Linked DNA regions of Cricetulus griseus. The protein of the gene in region 3 purifies or fractionates together with the protein of the main gene of each other region. This does not show direct contact. Links are inferred from orthologs where the notes say so. Each region holds a gene or a part of one and is shown on either strand. Other genes may lie near its edges. The genes, in order: Eif4a3, Pnn and Srrm2.

Region 1 (4,359 bases), about 89 Mb from region 3:
TCCTTTAATGCAACTGGCACCTAAGATTTTGGAGTATAACTTAAAAAAAAAAAAAAATGTCTTTTGAAAATTAAAGCAAGCCAGGCAGTGGTGGTGCACTTTAATCCCAGCACTTTGGAGTCAGAGGCAGGCGGATCTCTGAGTTCCAGGCCAGCCTGGTCTACAGAACAAGTTCCAGGACAGGCTTCAAAGCAATACAGAGAAACCCTGTCTCAAAAAACCAAAGGAGAAAAAAAAAGAAAATAAAATTAAGGCAAATAACAGTTTGGAGTATAGTTCAGTACCCAGCATATGGAGGGGGGAATAAAAAAAAAAAAAATAAAGCTACTAAAAGAGTATCTTGGGCTGGAGAGATTGCTCTTCCAGAGGACCCTGGTCCAATTCCCAGCACCCACATGGCAGGTCACACCTGACTGAAACTCCAGGTCCAGGGCTTCTGACACACTCACACAGACATATATGGAGGCAAAACACTAATGAACATTTAAAAAAAAAGTATCTTGCATAAATCTACACTGAGTAGGAGAGCAGTTGCTCAGTATGTGCAGTGACCTGGATATGACCCACAGCACCAAGCACCTTCCCAAAATATACATGGCTAAAAAAAAGGGGGGAGGGCTTTTCTAGATAGGGAAAAAAGTCAATGCTGAGCTGGGGGTGTAGAGAGGACAAGGCAGACTCATCTTCCCACAGCCTCACTGACCCAAGTTGGCTCTCAGCACCCACAACTTACTGTGCAATGACATCTCTCCCCTTAATTATCTGCTTGATAGCACGCTGCTGGATCGCTGAAGGTTTCTCAAAACCTGCAAATACAGAGAGGAAAAAGACTCAGCCCTCATACTGTGACAGCGTAGACACCACACAGCACAGGCTCCCTGGGGGCACACATACATACAGGCTTCTTACTGCCAGCCCAGGCCGCCAGGTGAACCACGCCTTACAGACTGGCCTGGAAGATGACCTGTGAGGACAGTGTCTACAGAGCAGCACTGAGAAGGTAGAGGCAGGAGCACCAGGAGTCCCAGGTCCGCCTAAGCCACATGAAACCCCCTCTGCGATAAAAGTCATAAATCCAGAAGCACAGAGGTTGCTCCCTTTCCTACTGGCGAGCACTCCAATCCACTTGCTGCCTGCCGTCCCCAGCATGACGTGGGCACCGCATGCTGCTCTCACCTGGCTGTAGCCCCATTATCTAGGCACCACCCCTAGACAGACGAGGCATGGTTGTGCACTCCCTAAATCCCAGCACTCAAGAGGCAGACAAAACTTACATTGAAAAGCTATAGTTCTTTTTTTTGTTTGTTTGTTTTTTGTTTTTCGGGACAGGGTTTCTCTGTGGCTTTGGAGGCTGTCCTGGGACTAGCTCTTGTAGACGAGGCTGGTCTCAAACTCACATAGATCTGCCTGCCTCTGCCTCCCGAGTGCTGGGATTAAAGGCGTGCGCCACCAACGCCCGGCCTTATAGTTCATTTTTATACTTTAAGCTAGCAGCTGGGCAGTGGTGGCTCACACCTTTAATCCCAGCACTTGGGAGGCTGGATCTCTGTGAGTTCGAGACCAGCCTGGTCTACAAGCCTGAGTTCCAGGGCAGCCTCCAAAGCCACAGAGAAACCCTGTCTCAAAACAACCGCCCTCCCCAAAAGGTTGTAGCTAGCACACCTTCCCAATTCAACACAATACCTATGATGGTTATCTTAGTGGTCAATTTGACTGCATCTGGAATTAACTAAAAACCATTTAAAGTGGGAAGACCCACCTTCCCCGTCTGCATAGTGAGTTCCAGTTCAGCTAGGGCTATGTAGAGACCCTGCTTCAAAAACAAAACAAGGGTGGGGGGGAGATATGGTGGTGCAGGCCTTTAATCCCACCACTCAGGAGGCCTGTGAATTCGAGGCCAGCTGGTCTACAAAGCTACAGAGAGAAAACCTGTCCCAAAAAGAAAAAAAAAAAAAAAAAAAAAGAACAAAAGCACCATCTGGGAGGCAGGGGCAGGTAGATCTCTGAGTCTGAGGCCAGCCTGGTCTGCAAAGAGTTCCAGGGCAGCCAGGGCTACCATGAAGACACCCCTTCCCCAGGTCTGGAAAGAACAAAACCTAACAAAACAGACAGAGCGCAGCCTCCCTCAAATGCTCCTAAGCACACAGCAGCCACATGACGCAGGGCTGCACTCTGCCTGCCACTGCCACCAGCAGACCCTTCAGCCCCAAAGCATCCCCAGCATCCCTTCTTCTGCGGCCCGGACATCGTCCCGCCTCCTCCTCCAACTCGCTTCCCTCCAAATCCGGACACCAAACTAAACGTTCAAACGGCAAACCCGACCCTACCGCCTTTCCGCATTCAACTGCAGAGGCTTCGGGGTGGTCTAGGAGCGAGTCTCACCACACCTCTCACAGCCTGGCCGCGGGCGTCCTCCGTGCGCCCCGGGGCTCGCTCTCCTCTAACTGTCCGCGGCCCTAACGGGGCTGAAACCCCGCAAGGCCCGACCCTGCGGGACCCACGGCCTCGGGGCCCGGGGCGGGCTCGCACTCGGCTGCCGCCACCCCAGCGACCGGGCGAGCCTGGCTGGGCGGCCCGCGGGAGAGCCGGGCCTGCGCTCCGAGCGGCTCGCACCTTCTCCGCCACCCCGCCCGGCCTCCCCGCGCCGCGAGGCCCGCGCCCACCGTAGGCGTAGATGCCGCGCAGCAGGTCCTCCCGCAGGCCCATGGTGTCGAACGTGGGGGTCACGTCCACCTCCTCGCTGGTCTCGAACTCCACCTTGGTCATGTCCTCCTCTTTGAGCAGCCGCTTCCGCGCGGAGCCCGACGTCGCCATCGTGGCCGCGGCCGCCATGATTCCGACTCCGCCGAGCGCCGAGCGCGAGCCGCGGCGGGAACCGGAAGCAGGGCTCCGACGCCGGCGCCGGCGCGGGAGGCAGGAAGTGACGCCACCACGGAGCGACACGGCCCTCCCAGAGGCGGGAGGCGCCTGGTGTGGCGGAAGCGGGAAGCGCGGCGCCGGGCGTGGGCGCCGCTCCCGTTCTCGCGAGATCCAGCGCAGCCGCGTGATGTGCCCCCGCGCCGTCGGTGCGCGCTGTGGGGTTTAGGAGGCTCCGGGCAGGGGCGCGGGGTCCCCGGGGACGCGGCGTGAGGGACGCCCTCGCTCAGCACCGCCCCCGCCCGCGTTGCCATGGCAACCCCGTCCCCCGCGCGTCTGCGCAGCCAGAGCCGTGTGTCTGGCTGTGCCCCACGTGAGTGTGTTCCTGGGAAACGCTCGCTTACACCTGGAGGACACTCAACTGCCAAGAGTGACTAACGAGACCCTCCTGTATGTGTGCACACTCACACACACGTGTACTCACACACTCACGTGTGCACACTCACACTCATGTGTACACACACATATATACACACATCACATGTGTACACGCTCATGTGTACACACTCACACATGTGTACACGCTCATGTGTACACACTCACACATGTGTACACACACACGTGTACACATTCACACATGTGTACACACACACGTGTACACATTCACACATGTGTACACACTCACGTGTACACATTCACGCACGTGTACTCACACTCATGTGTGCACACACATATATACACACATACACATGTGTACATACGCATGTGTACACTCACACACATGTGTACACACATGTGTACACACTCACACTCATGTGTACACTCTCACACACATGTACTCACACTCACGTGTACACACTCGCGTGTGCACACTCGTGTGCACACTCACACTCGTGTGTAAACAGACACGTGTGCACACTCACACATGTGTGCACACACACGTGTACTCACACACTCGTGTGTACACACACATATATACACACATACACGTGTACATACGCATGTGTACACTCACACACATGTGTACACACATGTGTACACGCTCATACACTCATGTGTACACCCTCACACACGTGTACTCACACTCACACTCACGTGTACACACTCTCACGTGTGCACACTCACTCGTGTGTAAACAGACACATGTGTGCACACTCATACACTCATGTGTACACCCTCACACACGTGTACTCACACACACTCACGTGTACACACTCTCACGTGTGCACACTCACACGTGTGCATACTCACACACGTGTACACACTCACACATGTGTACACACATATACACGTGTACACACTCACGTGTACTCACACATATATATACACACACAGTACACACTCACACACACACGAGTCTTTAAAAGCTCCCATAAAAATGGAAATCGTTTATGTCCAGTGGTTAGAAGCAAACTGTCCGTTTCTGGAGAAGTTGCGGGTTGCAAGATACCCGCGCTAAAACAAGTTCCTGCCGCCTTCTCTTGCGAGCCTGGCTCCTGCTCC
Region 2 (3,371 bases), on a different chromosome or scaffold from region 3:
CAAAGAACAAGGGTGGGGGGCCAGGTCAGAAGAAGTGTGTTCAGCCAATACAAGGGCATAGACTGAAAGCCAATCATGAAAAGCAGCAAGCAAACCTTGAATCACACAATGGGCTGCATCTAGGGCCTAGCACTTTCTAAGCACTGGATCATACCCCAAATTCCCGTACTGTACTGATGTCATCTATGGTTATGAGTTCACACTGCTCTAGCAGAGGACTGAAGCTTGGGCCTCAGCATCCACAGCGCAGCTCTTTTAACTCTCCAAGGGATCCAATGTCCCTGGCTTCCTTGGCAGCTGTACATACACACAGACAAAACACATTTAAGTAAAAAATGTTGAATATACCTTCCTTGGAGGCTCTCCCCACCCAGTATGCTCTTTTTCTCCTCAGCCATTTTAAATTTAGCAATTCCTTTACCAACTTATTCCACCGCACAGCACAAGATCAAGTTTTGCTAAGAGTACAAATTGTTAAGCCGGGTCTTGGTGTAAACAGGTTCACGAGTCTAGTAGGTGGTTCTATAGTTTGATTTTTGTTCATTTAACACAAGAAAAGGATTTTAAAAAAGAATTCTTTTCACATTTGCTTTAACACATGGGTTGTACAGACACAAAACTAAATGAAGATTCTGTTCATTTTTCATGCACTGTTTACTTGTAGATAGCTAAAGCTACAATTTTGAAATATCAACTCGAAAATAACCACTGCCATTTAAATGCTCTCATATGCATAGGAATGTTAATACAAGTACTAATCTTAAACAGTCACAAGTCTAAGCCACATTTATTTGCACACATATAGTAATGGGCAACAGATACTCCAAGTCCATACAAATTTATAAACAAAGTTAATGATCACTTGGTACACTTCTGAATAGTTTACATAGTCAAGCCTAGATGAGCTTCCTTCATTGTGTAAACTTCCATACAATACTTCCTTAAACAAAAATTCTTGAAAACATATACTGGCATGTTTCAGTTATAGTCAACAGAAAAGACAAGACCACAAATTCAAAAACCAAGTTCAGAAGATACTTTTACCGCTCCCCCCCACCACCCAGGAGGTGATAACTATGACAGATTTATACACTATGTTGTTATCACACAAGTAGCTGTGAGGACAGAGAATGATGTTCCCATAACCATGAAATGACAACCAAATTATACTGTTTAAATTATCTACCAACTGAATGGTTTAAATGAAAACAGGAAAATGCTTAGATTAAAATAGTAAGATAGGAAATAATTAAATGCTTAAAAAGAACTATTCCTCGTCAAAGCTGTAAAGACCTGGTAACTCAAAATAACTGTTATCAGGCAAATCCAAGTGATGAAACTTTCAAAAACATTCTAATTATGTTCAGTATCTTGTGACAAACTGAAAATGATATAAAGATATTTATTATACAAGTGTTAACAAGGACATCCCAAAAATAATGAAAGATGCACATTTATTTCTACAAAAGCAATGTATGGTACAGAACATAAAGGAACAATTTAAAGATTTACCTATTAAAATATACAGATTCTGACTGAAGAGTAATAGGGTATTTAAAAAAGATGACAAGGGATGTTAATCTTTTTTTATTATTATTATTTTTACATATTTTGGAACCTCACATAATTTTGATAAATAACTCTTACAAAATTATGCAAAAAGTACAAGAATGTCTGGTAAACAAACAGTCTGTATTTTCCAAAAAGAATTTTTACAACATGCAATTCTTAAGGCAGCATCCTCCTTACAAGGTAATCCTTTTACTCATCAAATCTTCTGCTGCAAATAGGCTAAGAAAGCCTGGCTTCTTCCATTAACGCCTTTTGTCTTTCCTGTCTGATTTTCGGTCTCTTTCACTTCTTGAAGATCTTTTGCCTGATCGACTACTTTCTGATATAGACCTTTTTCTGTCAGATCGGGAATTCTTATCCTTTGATCCTTTTGTATCTCTACTACTACCACCTTTGGAAGATTTGTGACTTCTTTCTAGTCCTGAAGTGTCCCTTCGCTTCCGGTCCATGCTCCTCCTGTGCTTTCTATCTCGGTTATGTCCTCGGCCCCTACTGCGACTTCTACTGTCACTGCTACTGCTAGTGCTGCTGCTGCTGTCTCTGCTGCTGCTCCCACTGGTGCTGGAACTGCTACTCGAACTGCTCCGACTACTGCTGCTGCCACTGCTGGAACTGCTCCCACTGCTGCTACTGGTAGAACTGCTACTGGAACTACTGCTGCTACTGCTGCGGCTTCTACTCTTACTTGTCTTATTTCTTGCTCGACCTCTGCTTCTGCTCCTAGTTTTGTTTTTATTTTTGTTTTCTGAATGTACTGTCAAGACTGGCTCTACAGGCATCTCAGGGAGTTTTATAGACTCTATAGGAAAATCCTTCCGCTCAGGCAGTAGATTCCCTTGCTCCTGAATAACCTGAGGTGGAGGCTGCAAAACTGCTAATGGCAAAGTCTCAGGCTGAGTGAGAGGCTGGGACTGGAGCACAGGTTGGGGCTGAGAGTGCAGCTGAGGGTGGGGCTGGCTCTGGGGCAGGGGCTGAGGTGGGGGCAGAAGCTGAGCCATAGGCTCAGGTTGGGGCTCAGGTTCTTTATCTTCTTTTTCCTCTTTTTCCTCAGACTCCTTTTCCACATGCAGAGAATTAACATTCTCTTTTCCAGGAGAAAGAGATTTACATTCTTTATCTGGCTCAACATCAAACTCCATCTCTGGCTCCAATTCTTTGCTAGTTTCATTTTCTGAAGGTTCTATACTTTCAACTTGATTAGTCTCCATTACTTCCTGCTCAGCAATTACATTTTTGACACTCTCAACCATCTCTAACACATCCATAACTTCTTCTGGCTGACTATCCTGTTGCTTCTCACCTTCTCTTACCTCAGTTTCCTCCTCCATCTTAGCCTCCATTTCCTGCTTGTGTTCCTCCTCCTCCTGCTCTTTCTCTGCATCGCTATGAACTACACCTGCTTCCTTTTCCTCTTCCTCTCCTGCCTCCTCTATTTCTACATCATTGTGCTGATTACCTGTCTCCTCCAACTCTTCCTCTCGCTGAGCCACCTTACCCTCTTCTTGTTCCGCCTTCTGGTCTTCATTACGCACCACCTGATGCTCTTTTTCCTTCATTGATTGTCTTCTAGGCCTAGCCTCCATTTTATTTATTTGTTCTGCAAATTCGATGCGTCTACCTTCAAATAAAGCTAAACAATAAAAATTACAGTAGTTAAGAAAATTAAAAATAACAATTTTAAACCAGGTCACAAACTGTCACCACCATCTAATCATCTTTTCATATGCCTAGGGGGTTTTTTTTTAGACAGTGTTGGGAACTTAACTCAGGGGTCTTATTCAAGCTAGACAAGCACTCTA
Region 3 (3,647 bases):
TACGAAGTTTGAAGGTTTCTAGACACTTGTAAAGAAAGTATGGAAACAGTTGGAACAGAGAAAAATGGTTTTATGTATTTAGACTATCAAGTTAAAAAACAGACAATATTTAACAAGAGCTAGCCAGACTTGGAGGAGCTGCAAGCTATGTGGTAAACCTTACTGGGAAGAAAACTAAAATAATAAAATCACTGTAGTTGGTAGGAGCTTTGAATATTTGGAATCAAAGAGAATGGAGATGGCTCACCTTCCCCATATGAAGTATAAGCTCATGTATCCACGTTTCCTCTGTTTCTGATCTTGCTTGCCAGTAGTTTGGGTGTGAGACTGCATAGGACATTTGGTTTATGTTACTAGTCAGTTTACCTATTTAGATACCCAAGACTGTTTAATCCATTTCTTGTTTGTTTAAGGTAGCCTAAATACTTATTCTCTTGGGAGGAGTCTTTGAAAATGGACTTTAGGTGCTTCTGATTGATCTATGGTGTTTGTTGTGCCATTTTGAGAACTTGGTTACCAATAGTTATATTCAGAGTGCTTGATGAAGATACCATTTGTGTGTATTGTGTGGCCAGAGAAGAATAAAGGATTAGTGTGGAGAGATTTGAGACAACATGGATTCTTGATTGGTTAGGGTGTAGAAAGGAAAATAAAAGTACAAAGAATGGCTTTAGAATTTGGTGAAAGTATATTGTGAGAAAAGATTTAAAAGTAGGTGGTGATTTAGTGGAAAGGATGAAGTGTGGGGAGGATAAAGGGAGGGTTTTGTTTGCAGACTAGTGGAATGAGGAAACATCATTTTGCTAATGGAGATTCAGTGTGAGACTAATTAAGTATTGAACTAAAGGCTAAGAGAGCCAGGGATGTGGGAGATGTGGTAAGTAGTTAGATTGGGGTCAGGAGCCTGACTGGTGTCTCCCCGCTCCCCCTCAGGAGCGGTGGTGCCCCCCTGGGCACAGGGCCATGTACAACGGGATCGGGCTGCCGACGCCCCGGGGCAGCGGCACCAACGGCTACGTCCAGCGCAACCTGTCCCTGGTGCGGGGCCGCCGTGGTGAGCGGCCTGACTACAAGGGAGAGGAGGAACTGCGGCGCCTGGAGGCTGCCCTGGTGAAGCGGCCTAATCCTGACATCCTGGACCACGAGCGCAAGCGGCGCGTGGAGCTGCGATGCCTCGAGCTGGAGGAGATGATGGAAGAGCAGGGGTGAGGGAATGGGTGGGGAGAAGCCAAGCACTGAGTGAGTGCTTAGTTGGGTGTTAGGTGGGATGTGTGGAAAGAAACTGGAGCAGGTTGACAGAGTCCTAAAAAGGAGTTGTAAGGGAGAAAGAATGAGCTTGAAGAATCAAGAGTCATGGGTCAGTGCATGGTGGGGATGTCAAGGAAACTGTTTGGAGCAGTGATAGCTAAGGGGGTCTGAATTATTTAGCTGAATTTATGAAGGGGAAGGGGGCCAAAAATGTGCTGTATAGGAAAGTAGCATCAGGCAGAAGAGCTAGGTAACCTGATAGGTGTTGTTATTGGAAGGAAGAGAAAGGTAGGTGGATTTAAGGGATTTCGGCTGTGGAAGGTGGCAAAGGCAGAAGATTGGAATTGAAAGAGTGGATATCATGAGCTTGGCAGAGAAGTGAAAATTTGGAAAAGGAGCACATTCAGGTAGAAACCTGTTTAGAGCAGTGGTTTTCAAACTTGAGCAATGGTATCCTTTTATATATTATGCTTTCTTTGAAGTCCCAGGAAATAAAAGATCTATTTGTGTTGAAGTTGGGAAAGGAGCACTGGGAACTATGCCAGCAAGCAAACTGTCCTCTCTTGGCCCCTGAATTGTAGCATGTTTAAAATCCACTGTTCTAGAGAGAATAGTGTAGAAAAGGAAGGAAGGGTCAAGGGGAAAGATAAGGAAAACTTACGGAAATTTTGAGTTACAATACTGTGTGAATGGAGAAGGTAAAAGGACCGTGTTGGAAAAGGAAGCAATTATAAATTGGGACTTGGGAAAACCCCTGTCAAGCTCTAACCATGAAGGGATTTATCCTTCAGGTACGAAGAACAGCAGATTCAGGAGAAAGTGGCGACCTTTCGACTCATGTTGCTGGAGAAGGATGTGAACCCTGGGGGTAAGGAAGAAACCCCAGGGCAGAGGCCAATGTAAGTGTTTTTCTCTTAGTTCTTTGGAGTCTATGATATTATAGCTATGGCTATCCTTTCTAAAAAGGACCTGGGATTGGGTTTTGCCTTCGTAGCTGTTTGACTCATCTTTATAATTAAGTTCTAAATTGGGGCTCTTACTTGTTCCCTGTATGTCTCCTTCAGATTTGGGCCTTTTTTCCCCTCCAGGGTAACTGAGACCCATCAGTTGGCAGAACTGAATGAGAAGAAGAATGAGAGACTCCGTGCAGCCTTTGGCATCAGTGATTCCTATGTGGATGGCAGTTCTTTTGATCCTCAGAGACGTGCTCGAGAAGCTAAACAAGCAGTTCCTGAGCCCCCCAAACCATACAGGTACTCAGAGAAGCCTGGATCTGCTTTCTTGTTAAAAGTATTGTATTATTACTAATAGACTACTACTATTTTTTTTTTATTTTTTGGCCTGAGATAGGGTTTCACTATGTGACTCTGGCTGTCCTGGAATTCACTCTGTAGATCAGGCTAGCTGCCTTCCTCTACCTCTCCAATGCTGAGGTTAAAGGAGTGTGCCACTATTCCTTTCCAAAGTTTTTAGATTTTGTTGTCTTTAGGTCAAATTTTTATTTTTGTGTGTATGGTTGTTTTGCTTGTATTTGTTTTTGTGCCGTGTGTCTGGTGCCCCTGGAGGCCAGAAGAGGCATTAGATCCCCTGGTGGTAGAGTTACAGATGGTTGAGTGTTTGCCTTGGTGCTCAGAAAGGAACCCAAGGTCCAATGGAGAGCAGCCAGGGTTTATAACTGCTGACCTAGTCACTCCCCCCCCCCTTTTTTTTTTTTCTTTGACACAGGGTTTCTCTGGCTTTCGAGGCTGTCCTGGAACTAGTGTTTGTAGACCAGGCTGGTCTTGAACTCACAGAGATCCACCTGCCTCTGCCTCGAAAGTGCTGGGACTAAAGGCGTGCGCCACCCCCCACCCTCCTGCTTCTAGCCCCTGTTTTTGTTTTTTTAAATAATTAAGATATGTGTGGTGGTACACACCTTTTATCCCACCACTCCAGGCACATCTCTGATTTTGAGGCCAGCCAGGGTTAGCTACATATTAAGGACCCTGTCTCAAAACAATTTAATGAAATCAGATGTGATACACACATTTAATCTCAACACTTGGGAGGCAGAGGCAAGAGGATCTCTGGGAGTTGAGGCTAAGTTGCTCTACATAGGTAGTTCCAAGACAGTCAGGGAGGGCTATATAGTAAGATTTGCCTCAAAATAGAATCTCTCTCCCCATCCCTCCCTCCCCTCACCCACTCTTCCACTCCCCCCCATCTCTCTCTCATACACACACACACACACACACACACACACACACACACTAGGACCTAGATACACAACCACTTTTAAATTTACATTTTTTTTTTTTTTTTCAAGACAGGGTTTTTCTAGCCCTGGCTGTCCTGGAACTCACTCTGTAGACCAGGCTGGCCTTGAACTCAAAGAGTTCTGCTTGAGCCTGCCTCCCCAG

What was found.
Region 1: the proteins of Srrm2 (region 3) and Eif4a3 purify together in Homo sapiens (affinity purification with mass spectrometry; 3 studies listed by BioGRID and IntAct, with this or other methods). This does not show direct contact. The link is inferred for Cricetulus griseus from reciprocal best matches to the Homo sapiens genes SRRM2 and EIF4A3.
Region 2: the proteins of Srrm2 (region 3) and Pnn purify together in Homo sapiens (affinity purification with mass spectrometry; 3 studies listed by BioGRID and IntAct, with this or other methods). This does not show direct contact. The link is inferred for Cricetulus griseus from reciprocal best matches to the Homo sapiens genes SRRM2 and PNN.

Annotation. Positions count from the first base shown.
Region 1 is NC_048600.1:131,838,020-131,842,378, forward strand, and holds the start of Eif4a3 (eukaryotic initiation factor 4A-III), read right to left. Parts: upstream 2,895-4,359; 5' UTR 2,833-2,894; coding exon 2,664-2,832; intron 807-2,663; coding exon 734-806; intron 1-733. UniProt on the Homo sapiens protein: ATP-dependent RNA helicase. Involved in pre-mRNA splicing as component of the spliceosome. Core component of the splicing-dependent multiprotein exon junction complex (EJC) deposited at splice junctions on mRNAs.
Region 2 is NC_048598.1:143,470,504-143,473,874, forward strand, and holds the end of Pnn (pinin), read right to left. Parts: intron 3,203-3,371; coding exon 1,815-3,202; 3' UTR 636-1,814; downstream 1-635. UniProt on the Homo sapiens protein: Transcriptional activator binding to the E-box 1 core sequence of the E-cadherin promoter gene; the core-binding sequence is 5'CAGGTG-3'. Capable of reversing CTBP1-mediated transcription repression.
Region 3 is NC_048600.1:43,323,047-43,326,693, forward strand, and holds part of Srrm2 (serine/arginine repetitive matrix protein 2), read left to right. Parts: intron 1-933; 5' UTR 934-963; coding exon 964-1,205; intron 1,206-2,039; coding exon 2,040-2,147; intron 2,148-2,336; coding exon 2,337-2,501; intron 2,502-3,647. UniProt on the Homo sapiens protein: Required for pre-mRNA splicing as component of the spliceosome. As a component of the minor spliceosome, involved in the splicing of U12-type introns in pre-mRNAs.